Linked DNA regions of Xenopus tropicalis. The protein of the gene in region 2 interacts with the protein of the main gene of each other region in a pairwise test. Links are inferred from orthologs where the notes say so. Each region holds a gene or a part of one and is shown on either strand. Other genes may lie near its edges. The genes, in order: zfp36 and xrn1.

Evidence for each region.
Region 1: the proteins of xrn1 (region 2) and zfp36 interact in a two-hybrid assay, tested with the Homo sapiens proteins (2 studies listed by BioGRID). The link is inferred for Xenopus tropicalis from reciprocal best matches to the Homo sapiens genes XRN1 and ZFP36.

The regions. Positions count from the first base shown.
Region 1 is NC_030684.2:81,494,655-81,498,664, forward strand, and holds the start of zfp36 (tristetraprolin), read left to right. Parts: upstream 1-1,210; 5' UTR 1,211-1,243; coding exon 1,244-1,279; intron 1,280-3,758; coding exon 3,759-4,010. UniProt on the Homo sapiens protein: Zinc-finger RNA-binding protein that destabilizes several cytoplasmic AU-rich element (ARE)-containing mRNA transcripts by promoting their poly(A) tail removal or deadenylation, and hence provide a mechanism for attenuating protein synthesis.
Region 2 is NC_030681.2:119,575,443-119,579,480, reverse strand, and holds part of xrn1 (5'-3' exoribonuclease 1), read left to right. Parts: coding exon 1-27; intron 28-156; coding exon 157-243; intron 244-349; coding exon 350-464; intron 465-1,144; coding exon 1,145-1,206; intron 1,207-1,406; coding exon 1,407-1,508; intron 1,509-2,052; coding exon 2,053-2,181; intron 2,182-3,001; coding exon 3,002-3,128; intron 3,129-4,038. UniProt on the Homo sapiens protein: Major 5'-3' exoribonuclease involved in mRNA decay. Required for the 5'-3'-processing of the G4 tetraplex-containing DNA and RNA substrates. The kinetic of hydrolysis is faster for G4 RNA tetraplex than for G4 DNA tetraplex and monomeric RNA tetraplex.

The DNA.
Region 1 (4,010 bases), on a different chromosome or scaffold from region 2:
TGAAGTAAGTGTGACTGAGTAAATATTTGATTAGGTGAGCCAAAAGTGTGGCGTTTTTACTAAACAATAGGAGGACTATTGGGCAGTATGCTTTTTAAATTTTGACTTCCATTCTCCTTTAATGACAGCCAAGTAAGTATTCCTTTTGGGATTTTTTCATGTAGCATACACCCCTTTTAGTGTGATGTCACTTTACACTCAGCATGCCCCCTAAATGCTAACCATCTCTACACAATGTAACAACAGGAATAAATTCCTTTCTGTCTGCCAGTGGGTGCCCCTTAATGAAATTTTGCCCAGCTGGTACCTTAGAGCGGCCCTGTTCTTACTTTCTCTATCTATGCCTGGCTAGTGCTTAGCTCTTATACCCCTTGTTTTTAGGTTACCTACCTGTTTTAACCTACCCAAGCCTACTCCTCTTCCCTATAATTTTGCTCCCAGTACTTGCCCACTCCCTAACTCACAAAGTTAATAACATGCTTCTTTTTCCAGCTATCCCTTTGCTTAACCCATCTAACTCCCTATCTCACACCCTCTGCCTTCTTTTCTACTAGATTGTGAGCTCTTTGCATTGCTCTCTGGCCTCATATCATGGTGTGTCTCCCTTGTTCCATTGTTTGAAGCTGGATTGTTTCTATTTGTAGTACTGTTTGTATTGTCAGTCCAAGGCTAGGGGCTCTCTGATATGTTGTTCCTTTATATAAAGGATAATAATGTTACCCAACTCTTCGCCCCACTTCCTAGTTTGCTTACGCAGTCATACCCCTCACCCTTCAGCTTTCATCCCACTGCTCACCCCTCTCTCTATGCCACCCTCTTTCAATTTCACTATGTGCTCAGTTCATTTTATTATTATTTCATTTTTTTTCTCATTAGAGCACAACAGATACTTTACATTTCTATCTTTTTTTTTAGTGCTCTCGGTCTTATTTAGCGCTCCTCCCTTTCTTTCATCATCTTCCTGTGGTTTCTGTCTCTCTCTCTCTCCCTCCCTGCCGTCTGGGCCTCTCTGCCTGTTTTGCTCTGTTTCTGTGTCCCCTCCCTGTTGGCTTGGAAGGAACTTGTTTTCCTAGCTGGGCGAGATTACCTAACACTCCCCACCCCCTTTGGACTTCACCCTTTGCGATGACCTCATAACTTCAGAGGAGGGAGGGGATTTGAGCATATATATATAAACATGGTGATCATAGAGCAGCACTATAAGGGATTTGCTGTGTGACAGAAGCTTCCCTGCTGGATCAGTATGTCCTCTATCCTGGATATTCACACTCTCTATCAGGTATGGTTCCTCCTGAAGCTTTCTCAACTTTAGTTTTCTGCTTGATCAGCTTTCCTTGCCTCTTTCAATACAACAGCCTACTAACAGGTGGTTTTATTTGGATGGTTTTTAAAAGAGAGCAGAAGTGATGATGCTGGGGAGTTCCACAAAATAGAAGGATGAATTGAAAGGGTTAACTGAGAAGATGTAAAAAGAAGATATATTTCAGGAACCCGACCTTGTGCTGAAATAAAAGTATAATTTTAGTTCAGGAGCCAAAAAGTTGAAGCAGAGGGTACTGCAGAATTTTATGTGATTTCATTCTCTTTATAACACTGGTATATTATCTAAGACTTTATGTATTGTGTCCCAGATGTACTTACAGATATGGTTTTACCAATTGTAGACACACAGATAAGAGAAAATGTACACATTGGGTTATTAAGCATTTTGTCAGGTAGTGATAGAGGTTAGCTTGTAGGACTTATGCCCAAGAGACCTATTCTTCGGGTGCTGGTTAGAGTGTAAATAGATAAAAAAAAATAGCAGCAGAGTGGTATTTTTATTGTATGTTTCCTTTCCAGTTTGGTTTTAGGGTAGCGGCAGCAGAAGTACAGGTGCTTCCTGTAATGCCGACTGACTGGCAATAAGCAGGCAATAAGCAGGCTTACATATTCAGCTTCACTTGTTAGGAAAATTGTTTCTGGGTGCTGCTTTACATCATCACAGTTGAAACTGCCTCTCCCTGCTAAACCGGATTATAACCATTCCCCCACCTCCGATCTGACGAAATGCTCAGCTTCTGTGGCATTAAGTCTTACACCCTTTTCTTGTCTTCCTGTTACATATTTACTCCCATTGCACAATGTAATGTAGAAACAAAGCAGAAAACAGTATCACTTCAGTCTGCTATTTACCTTTTATTGGTGAATATCATAACATGTTTTGGGAACTTTTTCAAAAAAGGGACAAGTTCTCAAATCATGTTGTGATATGCACCAATAAAAGGTGAATTTCAGACTGAAGTACTGCTGTTTTCTGCTTTGTTTCTACATTACGTTGTGCAATTGGATGGTGCGTATTTTGAAACAGAGGAAAAATTGGTATTCACTCTTATTCCTACTAGTGACATATTTACTCCCATCCCTGGCTCCAAAATCTATCTGACCTTCTTTCTCATGTCTGTTTTTCCCTTCTCTCCAAGCCTCTGTTATACACTTTTTTGTGTTCTTCTCTCTGTCTACCAGTCTGCCCTTCTGTCTCTTACGGTGCATGCTATTCCATGTTTTTCTTCTTAAGTTCTGTCTGTTCTTTAGATTGTTGTTGTTCTTTCATTCCATTAGCAAATTAGTATGTATACCTCTTCCTTTAGCTTCACCAACCTGTATTTATCTCATTATATTTCTCTGGCACTTTCTCTTTACTCCATACTTCCTATGGTCCTTGCTGCTTCTTCCTGGGCATCTCTGACTATCGTCCATATGCCTCTGTCAGACCTTTTCTGTGTACCTTTCTTGTTCTTTGCCTTTCTTTGTCAAACACAGTGGAGTAACTAGAAGCAAATATTGGACCTGCTATATATACCTCTATCCTTAAAGCAATTATTATGGAATCATGCTTGCCTATTTTTTAGGAACCTCGCCACCCCACCAGTTGGGGCAAAATGTTTAAAACTGTCCTTCCTTTGACTCAGATAGTAATTGTCTAGACCCTGCCATTTGTGGGTCGAGCAATCAAACATGCAGCAAAACTCTGGGAATCGCCCCTTGTGCCATTGCCCTTAAACATCAAAGATGACATTGGTTTTCATTACCACAAACCTTTTTCAGGTCCCAGGGCCCGTAGTAATCATAGCCTCTGTCCCTCTCCTAATTATGGCCCTTGTCACACAGCAGCTGTGTGTTTATCATGGTGCCTTGTTCATCTCATACTTATTTTCCTTTAGCTGTCAGTCCTTCACTCCATTTATAAATTTATATTTTATTTCCCAATTTACTTCTGTATTTCCACCCCCATCCTTTTCTCTTCTGCTTGTCTTTTAACTTTACTTATTTTTTAAGTACTGCTGAAAACCACCCTCTCTAGTATAGATGTCACCCAGCCCTTTTACCCCCTATATTTGCTTAACCATCATTCATTGTATTGTTTATTCATACAACTTTAAGTTTCTTTGTGTGATCATTACTGCCTATATTTAACCCTGTCCCCTGTCTGTGCTCCTATGTATCAGTGTTGTATCCCATACCTTTGCTACACCCTGCATACACCTTTAAACCAAAATAGCACTTCTATATAATGTGATATATCTGTTGGTTGCTTTATTGCTTCTGTCCACATACCAGATTTACCTCATATTTAAATCTTGTGCTTTCTGACCATTTAAACAGAACATTTTGTAAAAAGGTACTTTACTGACAAAGAAGCATGCAGACCCTTTGTTGCCATAAACCTTGACCCCTAGGTTTGTACCCTCTAACTTTGACCTAATGTTATCCCTCAGAATTTGCGCAACCTGGATCTTTCAGAAGATCTTGATTCTCCAAGAGAAGGGAAATTACTTAGTACTCAACGGAGACATTCCTGTACCCCTGACCTCGATGATCTGTACAGGCCCTCAATTGATTCTTGGAACTTTGACCTTCCACGAGCCCCATTCCGAAGTGACCGTTCGATAAGCCTGACAGAAGGACCACGGTTGACAATTCCTGCTCCTCCACCTGGATTTCCACCCCTCAAGACTGCTCTTCCTGCA
Region 2 (4,038 bases):
GCTTCTGCCGGAAATCAGAAACAAAAGGCAAGTCAATTAGAATGAAGAACTATGTAATATTTATGTGCTTTACATGTTTCACTATAATATCTGTGCTCTTTCCAGCCACACACATGTCACATTCTTATATGCTTATAATTTTTGTTGTCTTCAAAGCATAAACAGGATGATGAGTATTACAATGTGTGGCACTCACTGCAAGACTCTGGGAAATCACCTCGTGCTCAAAACTTGCATGGCAAGGTTTGTCTGGCATGTTCTCTAGCTGTATGATGGTCTTTTGCTTATTATCTTATATATATTATTTGACATTGATTTGACAGAAATAACATTAAATATTCTTGTGCAGGCTATGAACCTACCTCAGGAAAAGAAGCCAGGCCCCAATAATCATTTTTATAAGTCAGAAATGGCTGAGAGCAGCCCCAAATGTCAGTCCAAAAGACAGGATCCAATTAGGAAAAGTAAGTAAGAAAATGGTAAAGAACACATCACTAGAAATTGCTGCTTTGATTTTGCTGTGGCTTAAAGGGATACTATTCAGTCTTGGTTTTATTTTTACTATTCTATGTTACTTTATCCGTTTATATATTTTTAATCTAAATGAATAAAACAATAGGCAAAAAGTATGGTTAGCTCAATCCCTATTCATTCAAAAAAATGACAATGCCCATGTGGTTCCCATGATGACAGATGCGCCTCGCCAACAGACACTAGCTTTGCAGCCTGCATTTTTGCATAGGTTTTGGCTATTTGCAACATAGCTGCGAATTGCATGAGGCACAATTACACTGGATTTCTTGCAAAAAAACAAAACATGTTGTGTTGCCATTTTTTTTTGCATGCATGCATATGCGCTTACCTTAGCAAATTAGCTTTAGCAAAAAGTCCCTTTTGTTTTTACAAAGAATCAAGTTCAATATATATATATATATATATATATATATATATATATATATATATATATATATATATATATATATATATATATATATATATATATATATATATAATCTTTGTACATTTAATGCAGTGTTAGAGCTGTAGCATAATATTGTTATATTGACACAGCTGTGTGAAATCCCTTTCTGAATTACTTACTCCAATAATAAGTTAAATCCAGCTACATTTTTATGTTTTTTAGTGAAAGAGGATTTCAGGTTTCAAAAGCATGAGAGCCAAACCCAGGGTGCGTTAAACAAACCGGTAAGTTATTTTACAGATTTTTCTTACTCGTTGTTTTTTATTTACAAAATCCGTCAGTGGTCATAAGCACAAACCTCCACAAGAAGCATCAATTTTGAACTTACTATAAATAAGGTTAAAACGTATCATAAGTGTCCAGGACTTCTCTTAGAATATAAAAGGGATAATACAGTGTGAATAAGCATGTTGTTTTGTTACAGAATACGTACGATTCTATGAAGCAAGTGAAACTGTTGAAACGAACTGACAATCTCTTAGATATGCAGATTGAGAAAGATATTCCTAAGGCTTCAGAAGGAAAGGTAAAGAGAGAGACACCATTCCTTCCAATGTTTCCTGCATGTTTGTGCTTTGTATTGGGCATAACCTATTCTTGCATAATATGTTGTCTGTTTGTACAGGGAATGAGGAAGTTGCTTTCTACATGAGCTAGGGCCAGCCTGGGCAACCAAGTTGCCTGTTTGGCCCCAGCTTTGCCCCCCATGCAATATAATTCATCTGCATAAGGATAATAGCACATGGAGAGATTTGCAGCATTTTGTCCTCCTTCCTGAGAGCGCTAAATTGCTGGGGTGACAAAACTATACAATTTGCCATTATCCATACTCTTATCAAACAATGGAAACAATCTTTCCTAGAAGATCTACCTTCTGACAATTTCCACAAAGGATTCCAGGAGAAACCTTTGTTGACACCGAGAAAGCTAGCAAATGTAATTTTACATTTTGGACCACTGGCTAAATCTCTAATAATATGGCATACTGGCAACTTGGAAAGATAATAGTGAAAAATGTAAGGATACCAGTGTTTGATTAAACTACAATTTTTTGTTTTTGTTATTCTTAGCCGAATAGTGAGTTTGAAAATTTAATTGCATCACTGAAGATTGCAGATGAAGAGCAGACACAGCCTGCACCTCAAAGCCAAGACAAGAGCTCTAGCGCGGAACACTTGTCCCCTCAGTCATTTGCCATGGTTGGTATTTAGAACCCATCTTAATGCTATATCGACTTGGTACTGGGCCCAGATTTGAGAAAAGACCCGGGCCTAGGGTGGTGGGATTTTAGGGGCGGCATGCTGCCCAGTCGCATTTGGTTTTTTTCCAGAGTGCTAGGGGAAATAGCCCAATCTTCTACACACCAATTCCCCAGTGCTCTAGGACCAAAAGAGGAGTGCAAGCGAGAAGGAACTATGCACGACAGGGGCAGTGGTTGGGAGGAGAGAAACAACTGCGCATGCGTACGAGTGAGGGGGCGCATTACATGAATTGTAAATCAGGGGCTGCTTGGTATGTAGGTTACTGACCTCCCCCACTGGTAAAATTAATCATGGTCTGTGCATTATCCTTTCAAAGGAGAAGGAAAGGTAAAATTGAGGGTGCAAAAAATGTTAGAAACCCCCCAGTGATTGTAATTGCTCCTGTTAGGAGAAAACCCTATCTGCGCAGGGTGGCTCCGGGACCCATCTGTCTTTGTTCTTCTGATTCCCGGGGCCAGGGCATGCGCAGAAGGGTGAAAATGCTGACTTTCTTGTTTAAGTTTGGCTTTTAACTCTACTGCACATACACAAGCAGTATAAAGACAGAAGAAGGAAGAGAATCGCTGGCTCGCAGCCAACACGGGCTGGTACGTTTTCTGCTTTAACAGGGGGGGATGCCAAAATATAAAGCACCCCCAGTGATTGTACCTTTCCTTCTCCTTTAAATAGCCTACTTATTTTTTGACTGTAGCAGCGAACTGGGTGAAATACAGATAGCAAATAAAGCAGAATAATATATTTTATCTTTTGGTATTAGAAAGGAACTCAAATGTTAAAAGAGATCCTCAAGATTGACAGCTCAGACTCTACAGACCAACACAAAGAAGGAGTTAAAAAGGATACTGTCACAGCATCGTCTCAGCGCAAACAAACCAAACAGATAGGTATAAATAACATTTCTCTAAATTATAGTAGTTCTGTTGAAACTGTTATGTTGTTGGCAGTTAGAATATGTTCATCAGTTCTGATCTTGTATTGTCTCTTCTTCAGATTTTCAATACTTCAGCCCCTTATTACCCTTTATGTTTATCACTTAAAAGAATCTGAAATCAGTAAAGTGCGTGTCAGCTCATATAGTGTATATTTTAAGTATCTGTTTACAGTTACAGCCTTGTGTAAGACTACTTTGTTAACTAGTTGTCTGGACACAACATTACATGCACAGCCTACCTTGATAGTAACATCTGTACCCAAAAGGATTGTGGCCTAGTTGGCAAGTGCCTAGATTGCAGCAGAGACAGTTTTACAGGAAAACGTATATGTATTATGTACTTATTTCATAAAAGTACATACTTTGCATGCTGTTTAACTCTAAAGGCTTTAAGCCGGTAAAGGAAATTTAAACACATTGCTTCTGCATAGAGTTTTGTGTTCTTTAGAAAGAAGGGCTAGTGAATAGTGATGTCTGTATGCTGGAATGAGAATGCGCTCACAGGTAATAACCTACTTATAAACAGTATGAGACATCAGTGTATCATTTTCAGCCTTATTCCCCTATTGTTAATCAAGAGCAAGGAAACAATAACAACTCTTCTAACCAACTCTGATTTTTGTGTCCGAATGCTACTCTAGTGAATTCCCTGTGTCTTAATTTGCTGTGTTCCTACATAAATTCAGTGATATAATTGTTCTGTTTATGGACAATTAAATGCAACTCTGTCCTTACTTTTGAAGAGGAAGGATACTTTTCTGAAAACCTAACAAGCAAACTGAAATGAAATGCATCATGTTCAAATCTTGCAAAATAATCTGGCACAAACTGGACCATAGTCAATTTCTGCAGCTCAACTATTT